3 linked regions of the Stegostoma tigrinum genome follow. The protein of the gene in region 2 interacts with the protein of the main gene of each other region in a pairwise test. Links are inferred from orthologs where the notes say so. Each region holds a gene or a part of one and is shown on either strand. Other genes may lie near its edges. The genes, in order: pdgfra, erbb2 and ezrb.

Region 1 (7,106 bases), on a different chromosome or scaffold from region 2:
AGTGTTCTCGAAATACTTGCAGTAGGGAAAAAAACGTACAGCACCCACATCCCAGTTTTGTCACGTGCAGGAGGGTATCCTTTGTCATTGTCAATCTGATGACATTTTAAACCTCTATTAATGTTTGTGAGAGGAACAGCAAGTTACAGATATAGCATTTACATTCTGCATTCAATATTCGTAATCCCAAGCGATGTTTGAAGGTAGAAAAAAGAACCTGGTGAAGACTCGAGTTGACTCCACGTTACAAAGGGGCGAAACAGCCAGAGACCTGGGGGACAGGCTGCAGGCCACTCAGTTATACCCACCCGCCGCTCTCATCCTGCCTGTCCGGGATTACTCAGCAGCAGAGTGGCTTGACCTGAGTAACCGGCTTTGATTCAGGTTGTTTTTGTTGTGGAGGATGTGCATTTGGGACGTGCTAAACCCTAGGGTAATTTATCAGATTCCTCCAAGCGTCCTTTAAGTGCAACAAGACGGGGAGCAGACTCCAGTGTGAGGAGGTCAGCTCCAAACTACCCCCTGGATTCGCCACCAAACCCCTGGGATGTCCCAGGGGAGTGAATAGGCAAAGCGCATCCTCTCTCCGCTCGGTCAAAATCCTGCAGGGGTCCTGTGAGCTGGCAGTGCAAATAGAGTCGCCTCCCAAAGGCGAACATTTCGAAATCTTTGGGACACCACCCGCTGGCTTGATTCTGCGTCGAAAATCTCACCTCAACAGGGCTCCAAGATAACAAAGTGTGGAGCTCCGCTCCGTTCATGAAAGACTGAACTGTGAGCAGAGGATGGGACTGGGAATAATGACAACAGAGAGGCCAGGACAACTGAAAGCGAACATGTTTTAGTCACAGTCTTGGTTAACTTGGTTAAATAAAAGGATTAGAGAGAAAGAGAGAAACAGAAAGGATTTCCCGACAACAGGAGCTGTTTTATCAGAAGATAGCCTTACAGAAGTCCCATTGTTACCGACTTTACTTTTCTCAATAAGAGCTGGGGCTTCTTAAAGTGCCAGCTACCCACCGCGCGGAGCGCTGCGCTCTCTCTCTCTCTCTCTCTCTGTATCTGCGCTGCTCTTAACCATTTCAGTGCCACCCAGCAGGGTCTCGGTTTCAACAGCCCTCCCACTGGCTTTTGGCACTTCTGATGAAGAGCTGCGACTACTTCGGGCCAAATGTTTACCCGTCCATCGGTCCGTCTGCCGCTTCTCAATCTCCGGATCGAGTCCCCGGCAAAAAGAGGGGAGCAGGGGAGATCGGCGCGGGGAAGTGCTGTGTGGGGTGTTGGGGGGGGGGGGATGCCGGGCAAAGGGTCTGCTCCGGGTGTTTCCTGAGCAAGAGAAGGCAACGGGCACACGGAGCAGGGCAGACAGCAAATCAGACGCACCTCTCAGAGAAAACAAAAAATCCAGTACCAGAGTAGAGAAACTATTTTTGGGTACAGCGGTAAAACAGAGAGAGTGGGGGGGGGGGGAGTTGGGCAGTGGGCGAGTGGATAACTATAGAGGCTAAAGGACCTGGGGGTGGGGGCAAAGTGACAAAATAGTGCGAACGATGGAACAGCAAGTGGGAAAAGTCGGCTTAGAGAGAATCGGAGTAAAGTTGTAAGTTTTACTGTTCATTCTCTTCCAGAACTGAAGGGGGTTTGAATGAAGGAAATGATTAAAATGAATGATCAAGTTTCCTGAGAGTGAGTCTAACTACAGCCAAATGATGAAGAAAGAAACAAGTTATAAGAAAAGGAGCGAAGAGAGAGATATTACTGAAATACTACATTGATTCCTACCTCGTTTATCCTGCTGCTACTTTCCCCTCTCGCAAGTTTCGCAGAAACCTCCCGATACTGCTTTCCCTCACGGACTAGCCAACAAGCATTGGCTCACTTCTCCCTCCTTCCTGTTTACGTGATTCATCCGCACGCCAGAACTCCTGTACAATCCCCAAATCTCTCCCTCCGCCACCCTCGATCCCAGGACAGCGGAGTATTCCCAGGAAGAGAGAAGGAGAGACAGAAAGCCTCCACTTCGTCCGAAATTCCTCAAATCCCTGACGCAGGCTCACGGTGGCTCCCACATCCAGCGCCAATGTGTTTGTCATTATTATAGGTATTATGCAATGGAGCCATCAGTCTGCAGCGCGGCTGGCCAAGTTAAATGCAGCGGGACGGTTATCATGACCCAAGACCGTGCACAGAGCCGCTCTGTTTCCTCACTCGATAACGGTACCGCTCTAACATGCCACACACTCTCAGATAAGCGCTCACTTCCAAACTCAAAACATGCACTCCACTCAATGAAACGCACCACTTTCATACTCCATCGCTGGCCAAAGCGAACAGCCTTCTGAGAACAATCGACGATATGAACAAGACTCTTACATAATAAAGTACAAGCAGTTCTCCTAGTCCTTAAGATGCTTGTGCCCCTTTGGACCGACGGCGAACCAGCAGAGGGATGTGTGCAGGCACAGCTGTGGGTGCAATCTATATTGTCGTCTGGAACGCCAGACCTATTTACTAACAGATTTTACACAAGGAGATAAAACAGGGCCCCCACTCTCGCCCCGCACGCCTTTATAAAAATGATTTGTTTGCCCCCTACCTTGTGCAAAGTGGTAAGTCCACCAACTTCTGTTCCGAACAGGGGCAGCATGTACGTTTCACTCTGGAGCTGGGCTCAGATTGTTTAATGGCTCAAAGAACGGCGACTTGTAATTGATTCAATGTTGCAGTCCATCCTTCCAAAAAAACTAATCATCTGCTTTAAGTAAATAACTGTCAGGAAATGAAGCCCCTGAAGTCGCTTCAGAATAAGAGTCCGCAGATCACACGCTGCTCTTGGAGCCCTATTGGCTTCAGGCGGTCGAAGCTAGCCTTCCCAAACTCTTATCCACGCAGGGCAGTCACATTCAGGCTGTCTTGCGCAGAAAATTGCCATATGTGCATTTTGAAGCAAGTTTTATATGGACGAAAATGTTTCCCTCTCTCTCTCTCTCCCCAAGTTGCACCCCTCCGCCCGTGCTGACAATACGCTCACGGAAGGATAGCTAGTCTTTATGAATGAATTCCCAGCCCTTGTTAAACGCGGCTGATCTGTGCTCAGTACCAATGTAGTGGGACAGTTACGTTTGTAATGTTAGTGTCACTCAAATAGAAATGGCTTGAGAGATTTGAGGATTGTTTGCCAGAGTTTTGTTTAGAGAGGTGTGGGGGTAGGGTTTGGGGGAAAGAGAACTGCATAGTATTTTTAATGTCCTCCTGAACGTTGTCAACCGCAATAAATCTGCAAAGTGTTTTATTTTGGGATTATAGGAAACAGAAGACATTCCTAAACACTGGGTAAAATGATTTAAGTATGTTGTAAACAGATCGTTTCGCGTAATGACCTGATTCAATATTGACCAGTGAAGGCAGGAGGCGCCCTTGTTCTGTTCCTTGGGAGTTATTGCCCAGGAGTGAGGTGAGATCGCCTGCTCTCTTTGCATTTAAAAACCCGAACTGGCTGCATGAAAAGGTCGGTTTGACATGTTGTCTAACAAGCTCAGACCGTCTCCATCTTCTAATCAATTGGGATAAAGCAAGGGTGTAAATATCGAAAGAAATGTGGCGGGGAGCAATTGTGCAAACTATGTGCCAACACTGGGTGCCCGCTGGAAGGAGCGGGCTTGTTCGTTCTCCTGTTTTTTTTTTGTGTAGCTCGCTGCTGTTTCTCATCTTGCCCCCAGCCGTTAGCTGCAGTAATATATCTTCAGCGCTGGGAGTGAACAGGCCAAATATTACTTCCACATGTGTTTCAGGAAATCATTGGAGGCAACAGCGAGGCCAATCTGGGGAACCTCTTGTTTCTGGATGCTCGGAGATACCGTATTATTCCGAAAGAAACAGTCTCTTACCCATCTGAGAGAACGTTCGAATGTGTTTGATGTAAATAAGAGCGTGTTTATAAACTATTAGTGACGGCACACGCGCCGATCGATAGACTAACTTTTCAAAAAGGGAAAAAAAAGCCGAGAGTTTTGCAGTCCCTGTCCATTTCAAACCCTGTTGTTATTTCCCGAATACTTCGCTGAGTTTCTCGCTCTTTGGACTTGTCATGTTTTCACCCTCGGTGGTACATTTAGCTGTTTTTCCAACTAAGAAATTATTTCAGTTTATTGTTTAAACACCGACTGCGTTATCTTGTAAGAAATCAAATAACTCTAAGAAGCCACGCTGGGGGGTTAGAGTGTAGCTATATCCTATTTACAAGTCTGAGCCTGAGATTGTAATGGTTTGAGTGTACATCAGTCGGCAGACCGAACAATAGTTTGAGTCAATTGGTTGCAATTTGAAAAACATTGCTGCCTCTTGCAAACATCCAGTTAATTGACTTTGTCGGGAATGATGAATACGTGGATGGAAGGTCAAGCACAGAGTAAACTTGATGCAAGGTGAAGGTGAGCTCTCTGTTGCTGAATTACTACAGTGTAGATTTCCAATACAAGGTCACTCCCTCGGCGCACTGACCTGCAGCGTTTGGAGGGGTGTGTGGGGAGAAGAACAGGTCGGTGGAATACCACCTCCAGTCAGCAGCCGAGCTCCCTGTGAGCCCTAGCTAGGTACACACCGCCCTGACCCGCCAGTCAACAATCGAGGCTCCACTTTCAGCTTCTCACCAACAGGCCATCTTGAAGGGATTCCGAACTAGAGGAACACCATTAACCCCACCCGCCTGCTCCCAAGGATGATGTCCACGGCCTATTGGGCTGGTTGAAGGTAAAGGTCGGCAAGATTGCAGGCTTGGCCAGGGCAATCGTTTGGCCCAAAGAGCTGAGATTGCTCAGCCTCCAGTGTAATAGAAAATCCCTCGTCTGGGCGCTTGTGCACCTGGCCCATAGGATGCAGGGGTACAGCAGAACCACCTCTATACCTGCTGGAATAAACCCAGCAAGTGCAGAGGAAGACTTGCGATTTTGAACGGGAGATTATCAGCGTATGCGCATATTTATTCGCCTGGATTGGGAGGGTTTCTTCTGAAATAAAACGGAAAGATACACGGCCCACTCGATCAATCCTGATGTGGACAGATGTGTCATTGTTAGATCATAACCTCGTTACTGTGGGAAGACGTGCGTCCACACAACGCAAATTGGTCTGACGTAAACATGCTCTTTACCCAGGTTACTCTTAACATTACGCTACAGCATGTTTTAATTCAGCAGTCTGGTTGGGGGCGATTTCCATTCCACGACATAACATGCGCTCTGCTTCAGTACCCCGGCACTCCGGCGAAGATAAGCACAGAACTGTGAGACTTGCATGTGTTGGTAACACTGCATCTTCAGGGGGAGCTCAGTGCCTGCCCGTCAGCAATGAGCAGCGCTGCTGTTATCGATCTAACTCCCGTTCCCAGACTCAGAATAACATCTGCAGTAATTTGCTCCTTCATTCCCAAACCTCCGCTTTGCTCTCCTTAACGAATACTTTAAACAAATAAAGATTCCACGGTGTAATAAGTTATTTGCAAGTTTGGGAGTTTGGTGAAAGGATTTTGTGTTTAAAAGGCAATTATCACTCTTTTTGGAGCTAACCTAATTGAATTCAATGACAGACTAACTCCTTGACTTTATTAGGGGGCTGCGTGGGTGCAAATGACACGGAGACCAAGAAAGCCATTTGACCAGAGGGGGCCCGCGATACTGTTGAAAGCAATCCGTAACTTGTCCTTCCTCATGATTTCTTTTCTTTTTGGGGGTAGATTAGTCAGAGCAGCTGGGTTCCGTTGCTCCTACTGGGGTGAATCAAACTGCCGGGAAAGACAATTAATAAACTACCCAGCCAGCACAGAGGCGCTGTGTGGTCCGAACGGGTATAAGGGAGGGGGGGTAAGAAAATGTCTCCCAAAGTGACAGGTCTGTTTGTTTATTTGTCTCTTATCAGGCCATACTCTAATAGGAAGCGTTTAAATGCACACCATATGTGTCCGTGGATGGCTCCCTGACTGTCCCAACTCCCTTCACCATGTGTCACAAGGGACCTCTCGCATTGATAACAGGCCGCTATCAAGGTCCAATCTGTGGGATATTCTATGAACTGTTAGCTCGTATTTGTTCAGTGTGCTCTGTGAAATTCTGTCCCCACCACCCCCGCTGTGAGTGTTGTCCACGGGATAAATAATTTTTTGCTCGATATGGAGCTGCCGGAGTTGTGCGGGGGTTTCAAGTCTTTTTTTTTTCGGTGTAATCTGGCCGTTGTGAACGCTTTGGGACTGAGTTGTCAGCGAAGGCGAACGCAGTTGCTTTCCCTTTGATGTAGCTGACTGGTTCGTAAACCGAGACTTCATCTGGTTTTCGATCCCAGCTTTAAAACTACAGTTTTACAAACTGATGCTGGCCATTTACAACCAGGAGCGCAATTAGTTCTAGTGTGTGAGCTTTGTTTTATGACCACATTCGATCCGGTTCAGTCTTAATGATCGTTTGGTTTGGCACCTTCTAGAGTATCCTCACTTGAATGTTGTTTGACTCGTATCTTGCGTTCTGAGACTCGCTCCTGAACTTAAAAGCTCCATTCGTTTCCAGTGGCAGTGTACTGATTTCTCTCTCTCTCTCTCTCTCTCTCGCTGGCACATGCCCCGACTGTAACAATGTCGTTCATGAACGTTTCACAACAGATGAACAATGTAATCAAACACAGGTTCTTTCGGAACTGGCAAAGACATTTTGCTGGACCAACTGCACTCTACAAGACTTTTCATTGCACCTCTCAATCCTGCTTTCTTCAGAAACACGGACCACCAGCCAGAACTCGGTTTGTACCGTTTGTTTTCATCAAGACTATTCTCAATACCTTGCCCTCACACTAAAGCAGTTTTAAAAAGCGGGACCTTTTCGTGTCATATCGGATTAGAACACTTGCTGGAGTGGAAATGAGAAAAGGTCAACTCCCAGTCTATCCGTCTAACCCACTCTACTGTCACCCAGGATACTGCGTAGTTCTTCACCATAAACTATTTTATCATTCATAAATACTATTCTCTCTTCAGCCATTTGCGTTTCCATTTAACTTTCCGATTCATATTTAATGAGCGTACTCGTAAAGTTCTTTACTTTTTATCTAGAATAGCAAGTCAT
Region 2 (7,017 bases):
ACATCAGTTTATTTCTCAACCAAAAGTTAGCAACTCCGACAGCACAGCACCCTCTCTATATTGTACAGATACTTACCAATTGAACTTGCTGTGATATTTAACATAACCCTTATCTTGGGTTTCAACTCTACTTTCTCAATCACTCAATATTTCTCTGCTCTGAGAGACCAAAAATATGTTCAGCCTTAAATATATTCAACCACAGAAATTCCACAACCCTCTGGAACACGACTTGATGACTAGAATCAAACTCTAATAAGAAACCTGATCCTAGAATTTTGACAAATGAAATTTTACAAATAATGTGCCAATTGTCTCAGAGCTGGGCTTCTGATCCTATCTCCTTTCCATTACCAAGGCCACCTATCTGCACATTTGTAACATTGGCCACACCCACAGCCAAAATCATCAACAACACATTTTTTAGTTCTGGGTATAAAAATATCCAACAGACTTGCAATTGGTCTCATCTTCTGCCCTCTAATCACTCTACATCATCTGAAATTCCGTTCCCACAAAACTAATTTTCACGGAGTTACATCCACCAATCACCTCCACTTTCAGTGACTAATGTTGCATTGTCTCGCAGATCTGCTGCACAACCATTTTAAAATTCTCATATTCAGATCCAAAACAGTCGAGCACCTGGCTCCTACAAATCTGAATTATTTCCTTCGCATTTCCGATATCACCAAATAACTCACCTTTTCAAAAATAATAACCAACGACCCCAAGGGAGTGCCGAGGGAGCGCCGCACTGTCGGAGGGTCAGCGCTGAGGGAGCGCCGCACTGTCGGAGGGTCAGCGCTGAGGGAGCGCCGCACTGTCGGAGGGTCAGTGCTGAGGGAGCAGGCACTGCCGGAGGGTCAGTGCTGAGGGAGCGGGCACTGTCAGAGGGTCTGGGCTGAGGGAGCGGGCACTGTCAGAGGGTCTGGGCTGAGGGAGGGTACTGTCGGAGGGTCAGTGCTGAGGGAGCGGGCACTGTCAGAGGGTCAGTACTGAGGGAGCAGGCACTGCCAGAGGGTCAGTGCTGAGGGAGCGGGCACTGTCAGAGGGTCAGTGCTGAGGGAGCAGGAACTGTCGGAGGGTCAGTGCTGAGGGAGGGTACTGTCGGAGGGTCAGTGCTGAGGGAGCGGGCACTGTCGGAGGGTCTGGGCTGAGGGAGGGGAACTGTCGAAGGGTCAGTGCTTGGGGAGCGCCGCACTGTCGGAGGGTCAGTGCTGAGGGAGCGGGAACTGTCGGAGGGTCAGTGCTGAGGGAGCGGGCACTGTCAGAGGGTCTGGGCTGAGGGAGCGGGCACTGTCAGAGGGTCTGGGCTGAGGGAGCGGGCACTGTCGGAGGGTCAGTGCTTGGGGAGCGCCGCACTGTCGGAGGGTCTGGGCTGAGGGAGCGGGAACTGTCGAAGGGTCAGTGCTTGGGGAGCGCCGCACTGTCGGAGGGTCAGTGCTGAGGGAGCGGGAACTGTCGGAGGGTCAGTGCTGAGGGAGCGGGCACTGTCGGAGGGTCTGGGCTGAGGGAGCGGGCACTGTCGGAGGGTCAGTGCTTGGGGAGCGCCGCACTGTCGGAGGGTCAGTGCTGAGGGAGCGGGCACTGTCGGAGGGTCAGTGCTGAGGGAGCGGGCACTGTCGGAGGGTCAGTGCTGAGGGAGCGGGCACTGTCGGAGGGTCAGTGCTGAGGGAGCGGGCACTGTCGGAGGGTCAGTGCTGAGGGAGCGGGCACTGTCGGAGGGTCAGTGCTGAGGGAGCGCCGCACTGTCGGAGGGTCAGTGCTGAGGGAGCGGGCACTGTCGGAGGGTCAGTGCTGAGGGAGCGGGCACTGTCGGAGGGTCAGTGCTGAGGGAGCGCCGCACTGTCGGAGGGTCTGGGCTGAGGGAGCGAGCGCTGTCGGAGGGTCTGGGCTGAGGGAGCGGGCGCTGTCGGAGGGTCTGGGCTGAGGGAGCGGGCGCTGTCGGAGGGTCAGTGCTGAGGGAGTGGGCGCTGTCGGAGGGTCAGTGCTGAGGGAGCGGGCACAGTCGGAGGGTCAGTGCTGAGGGAGCGGGCACTGTCGGAGGGTCAGTGCTGAGGGAGCGGGCACTGTCGGAGGGTCAGTGCTGAGGGAGCGGGCACTGTCGGAGGGTCAGTGCTGAGGGAGCGGGCACTGTCGGAGGGTCAGTGCTGAGGGAGCGGGCCCTGTCGGAGGGTCAGTGCTGAGGGAGGGGGCACTGTCGGAGGGTCAGTGCTGAGGGAGGGGGCACTGTCGGAGGGTCAGTGCTGAGGGAGGGGGCACTGTCGGAGGGTCAGTGCTGAGGGAGGGGGCACTGTCGGAGGGTCAGTGCTGAGGGAGCGGGCACAGTCGGAGGGTCAGTGCTGAGGGAGCGGGCACAGTCGGAGGGTCAGTGCTGAGGGAGCGGGCACTGTCGGAGGGTCAGTGCTGAGGGAGCGGGCACTGTCGGAGGGTCAGTGCTGAGGGAGCGGGCACTGTCGGAGGGTCAGTGCTGAGGGAGCGGGCACTGTCGGAGGGTCAGTGCTGAGGGAGCGGGCACTGTCGGAGGGTCAGTGCTGAGGGAGCGGGCACTGTCGGAGGGTCAGTGCTGAGGGAGCGGGCACTGTCGGAGGGTCAGTGCTGAGGGAGCGGGCACTGTCGGAGGTGTCACCTTTCCGTTCACACTTGGCCTGATTGGGATCGTCCGGGCTCCTGATCGCTGTCGGTATTGAGCAGTGACTATACCTCTCTGCCGCAACACCCCTGCCCGCAGCGACACGCAATCTGAGGCCACGGCTGGATCACCGTCCCCACACTAGCTTCCTACTCTCCCCCAACCGCCGGAACACCGTCCCAGCCTTATCTCACCGCAGGCCTTACCTGGCCTCTGGGCCGCACCGAGCGCTGCGAGGAGCAGAAGCCCCGCGAGCCGCATCGTCCCGCCGGCCGCGCGAGCTCCACTTCCGGCCGGAGCGGAGTGGGGCGGGCTCCGGCGGTGGGCGGGGCACATGGTTGCGGTGGGGACAAATAGCGGGCGGGGCTTTTGGATTGTTCTACGGGGGTGGGGGAGGGAAGGAAAATGGTGGGGCTGTGTGAGACCGTGGGGCCAGCAATGAGGGCGTGGCTTGTCGTGTGCGTGGAGCAGGGATGAGGGGCGGGGCTTGCCGTGTGCGTGGGGCCGGGATGAGGGGTGGGGCTCGCCGTGTGGGTGGGGCACAGCTGTGGGGCGGGGCTCGCCGTGTTGGTGAGGCGAGGAGGAGCTTGGCCTTTGTGTGGGCGGGGCCAGAGAAAGGTGAGGTTAATGGCGCCGTGTCTGGCTGCGGAGAGGGCCCGGCGGTACGTTTACCCGCTGTTAGTGTGCCGGGGGCCGATGAAGGTGTAACGCAGTAATCCTGTTGGATTGTTGTACGTGTCCGTCTCTGGGATTCCCGCCCGCCTTGACGATGTGGGCTAATGCCTTGGCCTTGTACTGCTTGGGCCTTGCCGCTGTCTGTCTGCCTGCCGCCTCTTGCTCCCAGGGGGACCGGGAGCCCTACTACCGCCACTGCGTCCAGATGTGTGGGCGACACAACTGTACTGGAGCCCGGCTGCGGATTTTCCACAAACTGCAGCCCCTCTACATGATGGCAGCAGGTAAGGGCCACATCCCCCAGGGTACGCGCCACCCACCCCCCACCCCCGGACCCCGAACCCCGACTCTCGTCGGGGTTTCTGTCCGTTTTGCTTTCATTGCATCAAAATGAGTGGGCATTTGATCAAGAATTATTTTCCTTTGTTTCTTTACTCAGACTGAGGCAATGCCCGTTGATTCAACAGTTGTCTTTTCCCTATTGCAGTGGCCCTGAAGTTAGTTAATTTGTGGTTGAGTTGCTTGTTAAAAGTAGCTTGAATGTTGACCATGTCTCTTTCTACTGGCAGGTTGGAGTTGTGCTGATGACTGTCAATACAACTGTATGTGGCTGACAGTGGGACTGTACGTTCAGGAAGGACACAAAGTGCCTCAATTTTATGGCAAGGTGATGTGGGTGCTGCAGTAATTTAAATTATTAATTGATACTGACTTTGGTTGGAGCATTCAATATCTGATATTCCTGGGAACCAGTAAGACCACGAACCCTTATTGTGAACCCTACAATGACCACTTTGGTGTGACCCTGAGCCCCTTCACAAAAATATTGCCTGTAATTTGATGTTTCTCAAGACCATTTGTTGAGCCCCACCACCACCACTGCCCTGGCTAAGGATGCTGGATTGTTTCTTGACTGAACTAGTGCTTCTCTTTCTTTTTGCAGTGGCCCTTCTACCGATTTCTGTTCTTCCAAGAACCTGCCTCAGCCTTTGCCTCTATGCTGAATGGACTGGCCAACTACATGATGTTGGGCAGGTACCGGGCTGCAGTGCCTCTCGAATCTCCGATGTACCATACATGCATCTCCTTCGCCATGGTAATGACAATACTAAACTCTGCTGTTGTAAAAGAGTTGGTGTCTCTCGACAGTGCAGTGAAGAGATACTGTAGAACAGGAAGCAGACTGATACAGCCTGTTAGAGGTCCAGGAAAGCAAATCACCCTGAGTTTATCTTGCCTCCTCCTGTGACCACATGCATAGCTTTCCAGAGAAGTTGGGAGCTGGGGCTTGTTTGCAGTTTTAAATTTTTGCCCATAATTGAGGGTGTTTTCACGGAGAGATCGGTGTTGAGTCACCTCCAGCTTGTACGGTGCTGCTTTAAGTCCGAGTGACTTTATGAAGGTGTAATTAGTGCCTTTTAGATTTCTCCCAGTTACAATCTTGAATTGAAGTGCCAAGAGATTATACTAAATTTTTGTCAGTGATAGGTTTGACCCCTGCTGAAATGTTGTCCCATTCTGGGCACCGCACTTTGGGAATGATGTCAAGGACTTTTGCAGAGGGGATTTACCAGATTGTTTTCCCAGGGGTGAGGTATTTAGTTAATTAGGAGATGCTGGCACAGTTCTCCTTACAGCAGATTTGATAGAAATGTTGAATATCGTGCAGTAGCCATAATGTGTGAATATGTGAATTTGTCCAGAAAGAGCAAAGAAACAGCAGATTATCTAATAGGAGAGATTGCAGAACTCAAATGTTCAAAGCTGTCTTGTGTCCTGGTTGTTGAAGCAAAAGAACTATGCACGCATGGCAAGCCATTAGGAAGGCAAGTGGAATGTTGGTGCTTACTACAAAGTGAATAGGATATAAAAGTAGAACTGTTTCGCTCCAGTTATGCGTGGTGTTGATGAGACCACATCTAGAATACTGTGTAAGGTATTGGCCTTATCAGAGAACAGGTTCTACTAGATTTGGGGCTATATAATGTGGCAGCATTAATTAATGACCTCACAGTAAACCTAGAGGTAGCAATGATGACAATATGATTAAATTTTGTGTCCTGTTGGAAAGGTAAAAGTTAGTATAAGACTATATTTTAAACATAACTAAGAGTAACCATGTGGGTGTGAAAGCTGAGCTAGCTGAAGTGAACTGAGCTGAGCTATAGATGAGGGATGGATCAGTAGATGGCAGAAGGTCAGCTTTACAAATAAATATTTCATGGAATGATGGTTGCCATCACTTCTTGCCCTGAAGATGATTGTGGTGAGCTGCTTCCTTGAACCATCGACAAGATGCACAAGAGAAATAATCAAATCTCCTCAGACCATGCCTTACAAGCCCACAACTCTTATCTAGGAGGACAAGAGGAGCAAATTAATGAAAATACCACCATGTGAAAGTTCCCCTCCAAGCCACGCAACACCTTGGCTAGGATGTACAGTAAGTGTTGGAACTCCCTCCCTAATGGCATTGTGGGTATAGTTTCAGTAACAGTACTGCATATCCTAGCCAAGATGGTGGTTTGGAGGGGAGCTTGCATGCGGTGGTTTTTCCAGTAATCTGCTCGTCTTGGCCTCCTAGATAAGTGAGCTTGTAAGGCACTGTCTAAGGAAATTTGATAAATTTCAATAGTGCATCTTGTAGATGGTACACACTGCTGCTACTGAGTGCCAGTCTGGAAGTAGATGCATGTACATGTCGATTGAGCTGCTGTTTTGTCCTGAATGGTGTCAAGTTTCTTGAGTGAGTTTTGGCATTGCACTTATCCAAGTGGAGAGTATTCCACCACACTCCTGTCTAATGCCTTGTAGATGGTGGACAGGCTTTGGGGAATGAGGAGATGAGGTACTCCTGACAAGTTTCTAGCCTCTAACATACTGTTACAATCATACAGAAGATGCCTGTGGCCCACTAAGTCTGCATTGACAAAAATACCCAATTCTCACTAGACCCACTACCCAGCACTTGGTACGTAGCCTTGATTGTTACGTTTCATGTTCATCCAACTACTTTTTAAAAGTTGAGTTTTCCACCCTAAACAACCCTCCCAAATAGTGTTTCAGATTCCCACTGACCTCTAGTTGAACAAGATTTTCCTCAAATCTCTATAAACCTTGTGCCTCTCACCTTAAAATTATGGCCCCTTGTTATTGACCCTTCAACCAAAGGGAAAAGCTGGTTTCTTTCTACCCTGTATATGCCCTCCATAATCTTCTATACCTCCATCAGGTTTCTTCCTCTCAGCCTTCTTTGCTGCAAAGAAAAGGTGCTGTGCTTATCCAGCCTCTGTTTATTGCTGAAATGCACCGTCCGGGGCAACATCCTAATGAATCATCTCTGCACCTGCTCCAGTGCAGTCACATCCATCCTATTGTGTGGTGTCCAGAATTGCATTCGGTACTCCAGCTGTGGCCTAATCAATGTTCTGTACAGCTGCACCATAGCTTCCCTTCTCTTGTAAGCTATGCCAGACCTGATAAAGGCAAATATGCTGTACTTGGGCCTTAACTACCCTAATAACCTATCCTGCCATCTTCAAAGATCTGTGGTCAAAGCACCCAATATCCATCTCGTCCCCTGACCTTCCTAGCATCCTGCCATTCATTGAGTGTTCCCTTGTCTTGTTACCATCACCTCTCATTTATCAGGGTTAAATTCCAACTGCCACAGGTCTGACCAATCTGCCTATCCTTCTTGTAATCTA
Region 3 (7,250 bases), on a different chromosome or scaffold from region 2:
AAGACTGTAAATCTTTGGAATACTCTATCCTTAAACATTGCGGATGCTCCATTGTTGTCATCTTGAAGGTTGTAATAGATCTTTCGTCTCTTGAAAGATCAAAGATTTGAGGAGTGAATGACAAAGTGGAGCTGAAGTCCTGTCATGACCCTGATGTGAAGTGTGCATTGGAAATTAAATCCCACTATTCCATGAGTTGTTCCAAAAATGTAAATGACTAAGATGGTTATTTTTTAATAACTTCTATCAATGAACAAGGAAGGAAAAAGGCATTTATTATGACATACATATTCTTTGGCACTTAGTAAAAATGGAATATTAATTACTAATATGCAAACCTAAACCATCCTCCCTTTAAATCAAAATATGCACACATTCATTCACAAACAGAGAAAGCAATTTTAGAGAAATATTGTTGTTGAATGAGAGATAATGGGAACTGCAGATGCTGGAGAATCCAAGATAACAAAGTGTGGAGCTGGATGAACTCAGCAGGCCAAGCAGCATCTCAGGAGCACAAAAGCTGACGTTTCGGGCCTAGACCCTTCATCAGATGTCTAGGCCCGAAACGTCAGCTTTTGTGCTCCTGAGATGCTGCTTGGCCTGCTGTGTTCATCCAGCTCCACACTTTGTTATCTTGTTGCTGAATGACACTGGCATTCTATGGCTTTCAATGGGTCAAAAGTCCAAACCACAATGGAGTGGAAGAGAACATAGAACATAGAACATGGAACAGAATAGCACAGTACTGGCCCTTTGGCCCATGATGTTGTGCCAATCTATTATCCTATTCTAAGATCAAACTGCCCTGCATATCCATGTGCCTATCCAAGAGTCGCTTAAATTTCCTTAATGTATCTGACTCCACTACCACCACCGGCAGAACATTCCATGCACCCACCACTCTCTGCGTAAAGAACCTATCTCCGACATCTCCCCTATACCTTCCTCCAATCACTTTAAAATTATGTACACTTGCAATAGTCATTTCTGTCCTGGGAAAAAGACTCTGGGTATCCACTCTATCTGTGCCTCTCATTATCTTGTACCCCTCTGTCAAGTCACCTGTCATCCTTCTTCGCTCCAAAAGAGAAAAGCCCTAGCTCCCTCAACCTTTCATCATAAGACCTGTCCTCCAGTCCAGGCAGCATCCTGGTAAATCTTCTCTGCACCCTCTCTAAAGCTTCCACATCCTTCCCTTAATGTAGCAACCAGAACTGAACATAATATTCCGAGTGTGGTCTAACCAGGATTTTACAGAGCTACAGCATAACCTCGCAGCTTTTAAACTCAATTTCCCTGCCCATGAAAGCCAACACGCCATGCACCTTCTTAATAACCTGATCAACTTGTTGGCAACTTTGAGGGATCTATGGACATGGACCCCAAGATCCCTCTGTTCCTCCACACTGCCAAGAATCCTGCCATTAACCCTGTATTCTGCATTCACATTCAACCTTCCAAAATGAATCACTTGACACTTTTCTGGGTTGAATTCCATCTGCCACTTCTTTGCCTAGCTTTATGTCCTGTCAGTGTCCCATTGCAACCCACAACAGCCCTCCGAGTGAAGTAGCTTCCATCAGTTCTCTTGATTTTGGCAATGATATCATGTTATTGTCAACCACACTGAACCTCAATTTGGTAGCTGGTCAGTCAGACAAACATCTTTTGGTTCTTGTTTTCAGAGTCTTTTAGTACAGGTTTTCCTCCATTCACTTCTTCACTCTATCTTCTGTCAGCTGTTTTGGAAAACATTGTGACCTCAAAATGGCAGAGCTATAGACCATATATTGTAGCACAATGAATTTGGCAAGTACTGCCAAGTGCCACTAGCCCCTCCAGAGAGGGCTGCTGTGTCTTGTGATTGCATATTGTGTGGCAGCCTGAAACAAAAACAGAAAGCGCTAGAAATAAAGGAATTCTGTTATTATTTGAGATATTCAGTTCCTCCCATCTACTACTTTTGTATTGATACCCTGTTTCTCTTTATGTGCGTACTGTCCACATTTGCCTTTGTTATTCAGCACTTAAACAAGGTCAGCGGCCATCACTCTGTCTACCTTTTAGACATACTGTACTTTGATACTTTGCTAAGATAAAACACATCAGACAAGAGTCAAACATTAAGATTGACAAGTCACCAGGCCCGGACCAGATTTGTCCTCGGCTGCTTTGGGAAGCGAGAAATGCAATTGCTTCGCCACTTGCGAAGATCTTTGCATCCTCGCTCTCCACTGGAGTCGTACCTGAGGACTGGAGAGAGGCAAATGTAATTCCTCTCTTCAAGAAAGGAAATAGGGAAATCCCCGACAATTATAGACCGGTAAGTCTCACGTCTGTCGTCTGCAAGGTGTTAGAAAGGATTCTGAGGGATAAGATTTATGACCATCTGGAAGAGCATGGCTTGATCAAATACAGTCAACACTGCTTTGTGAGGGGTAGGTCATGCCTTACAAACCTTATCGGGTTTTTTGAGGATGTGACTAGAAAGGTTGATGAGGGTCGAGCTGTGGATGTGGTGTATATGGACTTCAGTAAGGCATTTGATAAGGTTCCCCATGGTAGGCTCATTCAGAAGGTCAGGAGGAATGGGATACAGGGGAACTTAGCTGTCTGGATACAGAATTGGCTGGCCAACAGAAGACAGCGAGTGGTAGTAGAAGGAAAATATTCTGCCTGGAAGTCAGTGGTGAGTGGAGTTCCACAGGGCTCTGTCCTTGGGCCTCTACTGTTTGTAATTTTTATTAATGACTTGGACGAGGGGATTGAAGGATGGGTCAGCAAGTTTGCAGACGATACAAAGGTCGGAGGTGTCGTTGACAGTGTAGAGGGCTGTTGTAGGCTGCAGCGGGACATTGACAGGATGCAGAGATGGGCTGAGAGGTGGCAGATGGAGTTCAACCTGGATAAATGCGAGGTGATGCATTTTGGAAGGTCGAATTTGAAAGCTGAGTACAGGATTAAGGATAGGATTCTTGGCAGCGTGGAGGAACAGAGGGATCCTGGTGTGCAGATACATAGATCCCTTAAAATGGCCACCCAAGTGGACAGGGTTGTTAAGAAAGCATATGGTGTTTTGGCTTTCATTAACAGGGGGATTGAGTTTAAGAGTCATGAGATCTTGTTGCAGCTCTATAAAACTTTGGTTAGACCGCACTTGGAATACTGCGTCCAGTTCTGGGCGCCCTATTATAGGAAAGATGTGGATGCTTTGGAGAGGGTTCAGAGGAGGTTTACCAGGATGCTGCCTGGACTAGAGGGCTTATCTTATGAAGAGAGGTTGACTGAACTCGGTCTCTTTTCATTGGAGAAAAGGAGGAGGAGAGGGGACCTAATTGAGGTATACAAGATAATGAGAGGCATAGATAGAGTTGATAGCCAGAGACTATTTCCCAGGGCAGAAATGGCTAGCACGAGGGGTCATAGTTTTAAGCTGGTTGGTGGAAAGTATAGAGGGGATGTCAGAGGCAGGTTCTTTACGCAGAGAGTTGTGAGAGCATGGAATGCATTGCCAGCAGCAGTTGTGGAAGCAAGGTCATTGGGGTCATTTAAGAGACTGCTGGACATGTATATGGTCACAGAAATTTGAGGGTGCATACATGAGGATCAATGGTCGGCACAACATTGTGGGCTGAAGGGCCTGTTCTGTGCTGTACTGTTCTATGTTCTATGTTCTAAGAGTAGACTTAAGCCCCATTCCAGACATTGAGTTCATAATACTGATATTTTAGTGCAGGAGTGAGGGAGACTTTGTTCTCAGAGAGGTCTTTTCTTTCTGATAGGATATTAAAGAAATGAGTCATTTGAACCAAACAAGAAAAAAAATCCGCTGTATTCTTTGAGAGAAAATGAATTATCCCTGATCAACATCTGTCCTTTAATCAATATAACTAAAGCAAATAATCTCGTCAGTGATAACACAGTGTGGAGATGGAGAAGCACAGCAGGCCAAGCTGTTCGGCCTGCCGTGCTTCTCCATCTCCACACTGTTATCTCAGACTCCAGCATCTGCAGTTCTTGCTATCTCTTGAGATAATCTGGTCATTTCTGTTTTGTGAGCGCTAACTTTCCAAAAATTCCACCAGTCCAAAGGTGCTACCTAAATGAAAGTTAGTGCTTTCTTAATGCTGTAGTATTGGAGGCGGGTGAAAGGCAGCGCCACTGAGATAGGGAGCGGCCGCGTTACAGGGGAGTGGCAGCAAGAAACGGAGAGGATTAGGTAAAACGGAACAGCCAGCCATATTGGAGACACCCAGGTGTAAGCGACCTGTGGGCAGGTAAGGAGCCGAGTTGCCGGGGAAAAAGTTGAGAGGTAGTAAGGAGCGGGTGGAGTGCAATTGCGCTGTGATTGATGTATGTCCGACCCAATCTCTACCGAGATTGCGTGGCTTCTTTCACCGAATTTTCGGGGGAGCGTAACATCAGACATAAGAATTTCGAAAAGTTTTTTTTGTTGAATCTAATTCATCTACAGTCAAACTAATTTAAATTATCATAGCAAATTTTAAAATGTAAATTCTGTAAAGTATTTAAAATTTAGATCAAAACTGTTCTTTCGGAATTTTAAATAACGATTTGAGGCAAATATCAGAGCGTATATGCAGACTCCGCCCGAATTAACCAGGGTTGATACCTCAAACTGTCCAAGGCCTGATTTAACCTCCTAAATCTTGGGGGAATGTCACTTTAATTAACCCAAGGCGACCCTGAACCAAGCCCAGGGTCACATCCTCACACAATCGTCTCCCTCACCACCTCCCCTCCCTGGAGGCATTTTGTGAGTGGGTGGCACCCGCTGTTCTTTAGTGAATTTTCTGACTGTGCCCTGTTTACCACTCGAAGTTTCTGGAGGTGAATCACTGCAAGGTGCAGCTTTTGCCGGGCCAGGCACGACTTCTACCCAGACCCAGCTCCTTACCTCAATGTTCATTTTGTGGCAGGTGATTGATTGGACCTTAAACCTCAACTTCTCGGCACTTGTTCAACTAGAAATAACTTCAGAAGACCGAAAATGCCGAAACCGGTATGTAGTAAAAGTCTTTTTTTAGAAAGCCAAGCGTGTTTAATTCTTAAATAAGATGGTGTCTTGTGAAGTAAGTCGCAGCAATCACTTCATGCATTGAATTACATATAATCTAACACTTGCAGCAATATAACTGCCAGTTTTTCCTATTTTTCCCCCTTTATGTAATTCTGACTGATAGAGCAATTTTCACAAGGTAATCTTGCTTTAATTGAAACTTGAAGCTTTGGCATTGTAGGTTGCTGTGGCTATGAATTGTTGAATAATTGTTGTTAGTTAAACCTGACAGTGAGTTGTGCTGGTACAGAATTTGGTTTGCCTTTTAGACTTGATCACACTACATTAAGTTTTAAGTCATCACCCTTCCAAGTTTCAGAGGTGGCCTGGTATGATGAACAAAGCCTACATTTGTAATAGAATGAAGTGTTTTAAAAGTTTTGATTTGGTTGCTGTGGAAACGCTAGAGGGTACTATTTAATTGTTGCAAAAAAATGGACTACTTAAGATGATTCCTGCCTTCAGGAAAAATGTAGCCAGCATGAGCTTTGGGTGTCTTCTCATTCTTCAATTTCAATGTTGTTCTCCTTTAAAAGTGGATGGCTGCTGAATGCATGAAAGTTTACTACGTGTTCTGATTAACAAATTGGACCATACATTTTGTTCAATAATAAATTGCAGTTATTTTCATTTATAAGTTTTAACACTTGAAAGTTCATGTGAGTATTCTGATTTCAGTTTGCGTGTTGCTCAAGTCTGAGCCATACCTTGTATTTGCTAGTTCTAGATTGTACCTTGGTTGTTAAAATGTAAAATACACATTGTACTAGATCAGTTAAATCTGGCTTGAAAGGAGACCTGTTTGCATTAATTGATACAAGGCTTAGGGATACAGATTTAAAACTTTAAGTAAGGAACTGTTTTACTCTGAGTAGTATCAGAGATAATGGGAACTGCAGATGCTGGAGAATTCCAAGATAATAAAATGTGAGGCTGGATGAACACAGCAGGCCAAGCAGCATCTCAGGAGCACTCTGAAGGGTCTAGGCCCGAAACGTCAGCTTTTGTGCTCCTGAGATGCTGCTTGGCCTGCTGTGTTCATCCAGCCTCACATTTTATTATCTTACTCCTGAGTAGTAATGGCTAGGAGCTTGCCCCCTACAAGAGTGGTAGGAATGAAAGCATGATTTCAAAACAATTGGATGGGCAGTAGAGGATAATCCAATTTTCAGGGCTGCAGAATAGAGCAGAGGAATTCTCTGATCGGATTGCTGTATAGTCAGCATGGACTCAAGGGGTTGAATAGCACATTCTGTGCTGGAATGGCTGTATAAATCTGGTAAGATTGTTTAAGCTGTTCCTTTTTAGAAACAGAAAGGGAAGGGGAAAATAACTTGGCATGTGACTTCAATCCCATAACCAAGATCTTTCTGACTTTTTTTAAACAGTTCAGGATTTTCAAAGGTCATAATTAATGTGTCAAGAATTCCTGCATTTTGCATGCTTTTGATAATGTAATTGATTAAAAATGTTGATCAATTACATTAATGTGCTGAGAACTGAGTTGAACCTAGTGTAGAGCAAGTATTGTCATCGTTACTAAGCTGGAAATTGGACTGAACAAAGGTTCTCTACTCAGTATTTGATGACTTCATGAAGTTTTTATGGAAAATAAATATTCTTATTGCTGAGATTTCAAAAGAGCCAAGTTTTCTGATTTAAAGAAGCATAATTCAATTAAAAATTGAGATATAATGATGTTGAATCTGTAGTAATTTAGTAAGTCACAGGTGTTATGTTTAGTACTTGGTTCCATATTTCAGGATGTATTTGAGGCAATAATGAGATCATCAGGCTCATTTAAGACCCACTTCCCTGTGTCAGGGCATTGTGATGGGGTGTAGATGTGCAAAAACAGTATGTAACAGTGGAGTAGTTTCATTAGATCAGAGTGACTTGTAAAGTCCTCTGCATTCTGTAATTATGATGGAATGACAAGACACAAACAAACTGGATTTTGATTGTTGTTATCAACTTAACTTAAACATTTGAACAGCATAGGATAAGGTCTTTGCAGACCGGGTGGTGGAATGTAGTACTTGCATTGATTGAAGTAGAAACTATGACTATATTGATGTAGCTGAAGGATGGATGGGTACATGCATTTAGGGCTATTCACTGCATGGCAGCACAAGTAAACTGGGTTGAATAGCCTGTTTTGTCATCT

Evidence for each region.
Region 1: the proteins of erbb2 (region 2) and pdgfra interact in a protein complementation assay, tested with the Homo sapiens proteins (2 studies listed by BioGRID, with this or other methods). The link is inferred for Stegostoma tigrinum from reciprocal best matches to the Homo sapiens genes ERBB2 and PDGFRA.
Region 3: the proteins of erbb2 (region 2) and ezrb interact in a protein complementation assay, tested with the Homo sapiens proteins (2 studies listed by BioGRID and IntAct, with this or other methods). The link is inferred for Stegostoma tigrinum from reciprocal best matches to the Homo sapiens genes ERBB2 and EZR.

The regions. Positions count from the first base shown.
Region 1 is NC_081354.1:107,877,070-107,884,175, reverse strand, and holds the start of pdgfra (platelet-derived growth factor receptor alpha), read right to left. Parts: upstream 3,069-7,106; 5' UTR 2,597-3,068; intron 2,063-2,596; exon of another isoform or gene 1,783-2,062; intron 1-1,782. UniProt on the Homo sapiens protein: Tyrosine-protein kinase that acts as a cell-surface receptor for PDGFA, PDGFB and PDGFC and plays an essential role in the regulation of embryonic development, cell proliferation, survival and chemotaxis.
Region 2 is NC_081384.1:1,012,190-1,019,206, reverse strand, and holds the start of erbb2 (receptor tyrosine-protein kinase erbB-2), read right to left. Parts: upstream 3,053-7,017; 5' UTR 2,972-3,052; coding exon 2,842-2,971; intron 1-2,841. Other genes in the region: pgap3 (post-GPI attachment to proteins factor 3), read left to right, coding at 3,405-3,594, 3,880-3,977, 4,254-4,406. UniProt on the Homo sapiens protein: Protein tyrosine kinase that is part of several cell surface receptor complexes, but that apparently needs a coreceptor for ligand binding. Essential component of a neuregulin-receptor complex, although neuregulins do not interact with it alone.
Region 3 is NC_081362.1:34,192,149-34,199,398, reverse strand, and holds the start of ezrb (ezrin b), read left to right. Parts: upstream 1-4,144; 5' UTR 4,145-4,280; intron 4,281-4,943; 5' UTR 4,944-5,014; coding exon 5,015-5,026; intron 5,027-7,250. UniProt on the Homo sapiens protein: Probably involved in connections of major cytoskeletal structures to the plasma membrane. In epithelial cells, required for the formation of microvilli and membrane ruffles on the apical pole. Along with PLEKHG6, required for normal macropinocytosis.